2 linked regions of the Neurospora crassa OR74A genome follow. The protein of the gene in region 1 binds, or shares a complex with, the protein of each later gene. Links are inferred from orthologs where the notes say so. Each region holds a gene or a part of one and is shown in the gene's direction. Other genes may lie near its edges. The genes, in order: NCU01580 and NCU06646.

Region 1 (4,266 bases):
ATATCCCCAGCTTCCTGAGCCAACCTCGCATCCGCTCCCTGCCTCGGAGCCCCGCCATCTCACTCTGCCACGTAAGTAGGTAGTACTAATCTTCTGCTTCCCCTTCACGCCCACGCACAGATTTCCAACGGCCGTGATCCACACCGAATTCGAACTTGACGCACCCTTGGCCCGCCACGTGATATCCCCCCCGGTGCGCCGACCCCTGGCTGTCGTCCGTGATGTAGATGAGTGCAACTCGCTGACCGGGGAAAGACAGGATTCCTCGGGGATCCACCACGGACGTGGTCGGCGCGGTAACTGAGATCGACCGCGCGGATATAGGTGGATGCGCGGTTGTCGAACTATTGTTTCTAGGAAAAGCAGTAGGGTTCAGAGACTTCACATCACAGGGTTCGTATGTTTGTGCCGAGCCTCCATTAACGCCGGTCCAGGGGTGACTCCATCGAGCTTCGGCACCGCGGCACCGTCATGTTGGACTATTGATTTATAGTTTCCTCCGGTGCGTCGGCATCTTGCTCGAGATGACCACCGGGAAGACTGTTTGTCATATTGCCGTTACTGGTCGAAACAAGCCAGCGTCCACTTTGTCCATAGAGAGACGACCGCATGAGTTCCACCTGGGCTCGGCATATTCATGAAGAACTAAGTTGCCGTCGTTCTGGAAGGTAAATTATTGTCTCGGAAGACAAGTTCGCTTTTCTGTTCTTTGATCTGGAAGAGCTACCGGGGTTATAATGTCGCCGGCCTTGAAAGATTCCTGTGTCTACTATGTATGAGTGAAGGGTGTTATAAGATCGGGAACTTGAACAACTTACCATAGGGGAATATTCGGTGGTGGTTACAGTGCTAGAGGTAGATAATCGGGAGTAATCAAGGCAGTTACATATTGCGAGAGCATGGAAAGAACAATGTCTTAAATTGAGCTTCAGTTTTGTCTATTCCTTACCTACCTGGCTGCCCCTTCCTTAGATACTTGTACTTCTCTTCCTCAAAACCTCACAATACCTATCGATGATAGTCTTGGCCATAGGCTTCCAACGTAAAGCTGTCGTCACCGGGGTAACCCCTAAGCCAATAAGAGCCCGACTACAGACCAAGGACACCTTGAATTGCACAGCCGGTGACTTTAAGCCACTCTCGGTTGACAGTCTTGCGCCATCCTTCTAAAGGAGATCCTCGTACGATATGTGAATAAACCGAAAAGGGAACATGTGATGGTGTGGATGGATCAAAGGAAAAAGATGACCTCGCTGTTGGTGTCAAAAGTTATGCACGCTTGCGTGTTCATCACCCGGCTGTTTTGGTGGTAATGCTGGGGTCGTTGAACTAGAATCGGACACAGCAGGAAGAGAAGAATAAGATGAGAGATGAAGGACATGTTCGGATGAAGGTGATATCATTGTACATAGAGGAGCTAGGATATCTTGACCAATAGGAAAGCGAGAACTGGACTACATCTGTATGTTTAACTGCATGTTAGTGCTCTAACTGCATATCTTTTGACCACTAAGGAAAATGCCGGCAATCTGCCTTATCGGGTATCACGTGGTAGCGTGTGCACTTGGACCAGGATCCTTTGGCCTTCACTTGGATCGCGTTTCGCTTGCAACCCCGAAATCGTTATCGCATTTCTCCGTTACGTTATCGCATCTGCAGTGTTCTCGACGAGAAGGTCTTCTTGGGCGCGTCAATCCTATTCAGCAGACATAACCAATCCAGACAACAACTATAACGAATATCACACAACAGAGCGCCCGCTTAGCTATCCTGCCATCTCTCGATCCAGCATCCAGACAAGCTCCCTACGAGCACCGGCGCACTGAGTATCGCGGCGACAAAAGGCCTACGTCATGTACACCAACTGGCTTCGATCCACGATATAGCTCTACAACACACACAACCTTGAAGCGAGTTGAGGCTGTCCCTGCCAGATCATCGTCAAGATGACGGTCCAGGACGCCGTCGACGCCTCCGAACACTACGAAATCTACAACACCGATGATATCCCCTCCCTTTATACCATAATCATCGACACCAACCCACGCGCCTGGGCCGCCCTGAACGATGTCCTCCCACTCACGAAAGCGCTCGCCAACATTCTAATATTTGTCAACTCCCACTTAGCCTTCAATAACTCCAACCAAGTAGCTCTCATAGCATCACACACGAACCGGGCAGTATGGCTCTACCCAACAGCACCCGACCAGAACCCCGGCCGACACCCGCAAAATCCAAACGAAGACATCGAAATGCGCGACGCCTCCTTCACAAGTAAACAACAATCTCCACCGCCCGCAAACAAATACCCCCTCTTCGCCCAAATCGAGCGCTCCCTCCTCTCCTCCCTGCGATCTCTCATAACCGACACCACAACCGAGGACATCACCTCTACAACCACCACCCAGATTTCCGGCGCCTTGACCCTCGCCCTCGCGCACATCAACAAAACCGCCCTCCTCTTCGCCCCCTCCAACTCCGCCACCGGCCCAACCCCCTCCTCCGCAGGCGGCAAGTCCTCCGTCTCCACAACCTCCGGCGCCGGCCCAGGCGGCGGCAACGCAGCCTCCCTCCCTGGCATCGGCGGTGGCGGCCTGGCAGGCCTGCACGCCCGCATCCTGGTGGTCAGCGTAAGCGACAGCTCCCCCTCGCAGTACATCCCTACCATGAATGCTGTGTTCGCGGCGGCGCACGCGCGCATTGCCATCGACACGCTGGCGCTGCGGGGTAGTGCAACGTTCTTGCAGCAGGCGAGCTATATTACGCGCGGCACGTTTATACGGGCGCAGGAGCCGAGGGGACTATTGCAGTACTTGATGTTTGGGTTTGGAAGCGGGAGCGCGCCACAGGGGTTGGCGGCGGCAGGGAACCAGCGGTCTCAGCAGCAGCATGGGGGACATAAGGGGAAAGAGGACAAGGCGAGCGAGAAGGCCCTTGGCGCCGCGGCCAAGGGAGGGGCCAAGCATGGAGGCCAGAAGTTTCTGGGGAGTAATGCTAGCGTGGCGGATCTGTTGGTCACCCCTAGTGCGGACTCGGTGGATTTCCGGGCGGCGTGTTTCTGTCATCGGAACGTGATTGATACGGGGTTTGTGTGCAGTATCTGCTTGAGCATTTTTTGCGAGGTGCCCGAGGGTGGGGAGTGTTTGACATGCGGCACCAAGTTAGCGTTGGGGAATTACGGGAGGAAGTTACCTGTGCTGCCTTCAAAGGCTGCTGCTCCTCCTGGAGGGGGGCAGGCGAATGGGAAAGGGACGATGCTGAAATAAGTCTTCAGCGAGGTATGGAATAGAGTGAAGAGGTAACTGATGGTGGATGATTCTTTTGTCCTGGGCCGGGGAACCAGGCAGTCAAGAGGCTGATTAGAGACTAGGGAGTGGTAAAGCCCACAAGATTGCTCGTGGGATGTCTACCGAAAGCGGACAAAAGGCTTGGAAAACTACATATACACATAGAGTCTGACATGCAGTGCTAATACCCATAAAACAGCTTTTATTGCGAATATCACTTTACTGGACATGGATTCCCACTATAGGATTCAGCCATCGATACCTGTTATTGGGGACATGTCTAGTCATTATCCATCGTTACATCATGCTCCCCCGACTCGCGTTCAACGTCCACCGTCCATTCATAACTCATCATCAGACTCAGTCTCACTCCCCTCATCTACTACAGCAGCAGGCTGAGACGCTCTCGTAGCCGTCGCCCCGGCCCTCTTAGTATGGGAAATGGGCGTTAGCGTCTCCTTTCCCTTTCCCTTTCCTACAACAGAAGCCGTCGTCTTTTTCTGAGGGGTTGTCGTCGCTGTCGAGGATGCCGCAGCCGTGCGTTGTCGTCTAGCAGGCGGCGGTGAAGGAGGCGGCGGCACATCAAGATCCTTGTCCCCTGCTTCTACAGTCCCATCATCCTCCTCATCGGGCTCACTGGCTGTTTCGTCATCGTCGTCGCGGTCTGGGGTGTTGCGGTCAGATGTCTTATTGAGGACCTCATCTTCGTCCTCGTCGTTATCAGTGACGTCCTCGTGATCGAGGGTTTTGCTAGAAGATGATTGTCCCATGGTGGTCGTCTTTGATGATGGTTCCGGCTCTGATTCTGGCTCAGGTTCCGGCTCGTCGACATCCATCTTTTCGAATTTTGCGTGGTCGTTGTCGTCGTCTCCATCATCGTCTGATGATGGTACGTCCTTTGCAGCCTTTCGTTTTCCTGGTCTGGAGACACGGGCGGTTCTTGTGTTTGTCCTTGCTTTCGCTGATCCTGTTCCGCGTC
Region 2 (3,103 bases), on another chromosome or scaffold:
AACGAACTTGTACGGCAACGGCAAGTGCAGTAATGAGGCATGTCTTGGCCCTGGTCTTCTTCTCGCGCTTCCAGAAGGTCGTCTTCAGAACGGAAGGAAGCACCGCCATGTTCAAGAATGCGGGCTTCGTTTGCGATCACATCTTCGACAGTTCATCGGGTCTTTCACTTTTGTCACATTTCAGTTTGGTGTAACAAGGCGCTACCGGTTATCGAGCTCCCGATGCACAGAATCTGAAACCGCCATCGGCAAGTCGTACCTAGTCACCTCTATCCGCCCTCGTCATATCGACGTTTGTTTTTCTTTTCTTTTTCTTACTTTCCTTTCCTTTTTTCTTTTTCATTCTCAAGACGGATAAAAGACTGGACATGGCATGTTTTGAACGGGTAGGGTACGTTGGTTTGCTGCACCTATTTCATCATTGTCAGCCAACGACATACTACCTCGGTCCCTGCGCCGCAAGGCAATCCAGGAGCAAACAAGAGGGTTTTGGGACTCCCTGGACAGAAAAGATATTTCTTGGTCTCCATCGCAGCTCCCTGCCCTGGATCCTCGTGAAATACTCCCAACTCTCAGTCTAGGCACCACTCAGTACCCGCACCCAATATCCGAGCCATACTATCACTAATCTGAGCTTGCGATTGGCACGAGTTTTGAGATTCGATCTCCGCTCCCACGCTGGCACTCTCAAGCGAAAAGGTGGGGTGGTTTACTGCAAGCGGTTAAGCCTTCCCGCCCAGCGATCCCTGGCAGCGTCCAGGGCCCGAAACGGCCACACAGAGTGGGAAAGTGGTTACAGGATTCGTTTTTTTGGAGACGCCATTGTCCCCCCTTGCCTGTGACTGCTTTGATCACATTCGGGGTTTCCATTAAGTAAGATCCAATGTGATCATCCAGACCAGCCGGCCACTCATGGACGAATTATTTGTTGAAGCTTGTTGGTAAGGGAATGTGAGAATCATCTATACACACTGTTCTTGCAATTGAGGTTGAAGTGAAGGTCATGATGCCCTCATCATCTATTCATCTGATCTGGAGGGACAGCACCTGGATTCAAGGTTCAGTAAGTATAATTGCGGGTATGTAATCGCAAGGCAAGTTTTCTGACCTGAACCCGAACGTATGTACCTACGTAATGTTCCGTATTCTGCAAGCGTACGTAGGTACCCGTGTCTGCCGCTGCTTCTCTGTCACTTCATGCCAGGTTGCTCGCGTCGTTACAGAGAAGGCGCTGCCAACAAATTGTACGCTCAAACGCTGTATTTGAGTTACCATACAGCAACACAAACCCATTTCTTCCACGCCAACCATCTAACGATCCAACCATATCCCGACCAACAACCAGCACAGCCCGATACATTCCAAACCACGTCGCATACGACATTGTTCTCAGAGCATATACCCAAAAGGCCAACTTGATGAGGGCTACGGCGACATAAAAAAATCACAGGACATTTTGCCATCCCGCCAGAAACTACAGCTATTCAAGATGCCGAGAGCAATCAGAGGTCAGTATGGATTCCCATGAAATACCATATAAATGACGTGTACATGGGCTTGTCTAGTCAAGACTCATTCATAAGCAACAGCACAGCACGACTCTAACGCAAAACAAATACTCACCCTGCTAACACTGGTCCCTGGCTCAGGTGTACTCATCCAGTGCGAACCAGCCATCAAGTCCATCATCGTTCACTTGGATAGTGTTAACAACGATATCATCATCGAAGATCTTGATGAGCAGACCCTGGTTGTTAAGGAAAACATGGTGCAACTGCTCAAACAGAAACTCGAGGACGTAAGTCATATGCTTCCCCTTTGCTTTGTCCAGTGTGACCGTTTGGCCCGCATCGTGAACTAGATATCATGTCCGATTATATCACCTTCCTCTGGCTGACACTTTCCTACCTACAACAGCGCCTGAAGGAAACATACAGGCCCGAGGAACCGCTGGCAGATAGTGACTAGGAGTTGCCTAGTAAATAGGAGACGCATACGTAGTGACTTCAAGTCGCTGAACCCCCCCGAATTACATGCATTTATTTATACACCTTCAACACTGCGTAGCAGTTACCAGCCTGCGATGGACTACTTGATCCTCTTTAAAGCTTTGAAAAGACGGGCTTCTTCTTCTGCACACTAGCCGATAACGCGTCCATCATATCTCTTGATTGCAAAGCAGCCGAGTTCCAGACGGTGGTATACCGTAAGCCTGTGTCAAAATTATCAGTTTAGCCTTTCCTTCACGATAACGAGCAACGAGGAGGAAGAGAAACCAAGAAAGGAAACGTACTTTCAGAAACCGAATGGTCCCTTGCGTGGTTCAACAACTCCTTAGTTCCCTGTACAGCAATCGGGCTCTTCCCAGCAATCAAGCCCGCCAGCTTGATCGCCTGATCCAGGGCAGCCACCTTGCTGTCGAGAACTTGGCTGACGAAGCCGACCTGTTGCGCCTCGGTCGCGCCAAACTCTCTTGCCGACATGCATACCTCCTTCACCCACGAGAAGTTGCCGACGGCCTTGGGCAGCCGGCTCAGCGTGCCAATGTCGGCGGCCAGGCCGATGTCGACCTCCTTGACGGCCAGCCGAACGTCACGCGTGCAGAGCCGAATGTCGGCGGCGCAGGCGATGTCGATGGCGAGGCCGAGGGAGATGGCGTGGAGGACGACGATGACGGCTTCAGGGAGTTTCTGTAGGTTAGCAAGATTCGCATGCACTGGTTCATTGGCTTGACGTATATATATCACCCTGGGTAACGAAGAGTGACAAGTCGGCACAGTCAATACATACGTTTCTCGCACAATTCAATAGCCGAAATGCTATCCTGAAATTCAGTAATGTATCTTCTCAACTGGGCCGCCTTGCGCCCGACGTCGAGGGCGCCGCTCGACTGCAGCTGGTTGTTCGAGCTGGCCGCGTGGATGTCCAAACCCGCCGTGAAACCCCGGTCACCGGCGCCCGAGAGCACCACGGCCCGCACGTCCGGGTCCGACGACAGCTGCCGGAAGATCTGGCCCAACTCCAGCCACATGGCCTCGAAAAAGGCGTTGAGTTTGGCAGGACGGTTGATCTCCACGTGCACGACGAAGGCAGGCCCCGCGGA

Evidence for each region.
Region 2: NCU01580 (region 1) and NCU06646 share a complex: the UniProt entries of both Saccharomyces cerevisiae proteins name them as parts of the 7-subunit TFIIH core complex. The link is inferred for Neurospora crassa OR74A from reciprocal best matches to the Saccharomyces cerevisiae genes TFB4 and TFB5.

What each region holds. Positions count from the first base shown.
Region 1 is NC_026502.1:3,029,855-3,034,120, reverse strand, and holds NCU01580 (transcription factor TFIIH subunit Tfb4), read left to right. Parts: upstream 1-1,627; 5' UTR 1,628-1,946; coding exon 1,947-3,266; 3' UTR 3,267-3,628; downstream 3,629-4,266. Other genes in the region: NCU01581 (hypothetical protein), read right to left, coding at 3,629-4,266. UniProt on the Saccharomyces cerevisiae protein: Component of the general transcription and DNA repair factor IIH (TFIIH) core complex, which is involved in general and transcription-coupled nucleotide excision repair (NER) of damaged DNA and, when complexed to TFIIK, in RNA transcription by RNA polymerase II.
Region 2 is NC_026505.1:4,109,507-4,112,609, forward strand, and holds NCU06646 (RNA polymerase II transcription factor B subunit 5), read left to right. Parts: upstream 1-1,264; 5' UTR 1,265-1,489; coding exon 1,490-1,508; intron 1,509-1,649; coding exon 1,650-1,798; exon of another isoform or gene 1,799-1,917; coding exon 1,918-1,968; 3' UTR 1,969-2,102; coding exon of another isoform or gene 2,103-2,212; 3' UTR 2,213-2,293; downstream 2,294-3,103. Other genes in the region: NCU06647 (enoyl-CoA hydratase/isomerase), read right to left, coding at 2,103-2,212, 2,294-2,677, 2,791-3,103. UniProt on the Saccharomyces cerevisiae protein: Component of the general transcription and DNA repair factor IIH (TFIIH) core complex, which is involved in general and transcription-coupled nucleotide excision repair (NER) of damaged DNA and, when complexed to TFIIK, in RNA transcription by RNA polymerase II.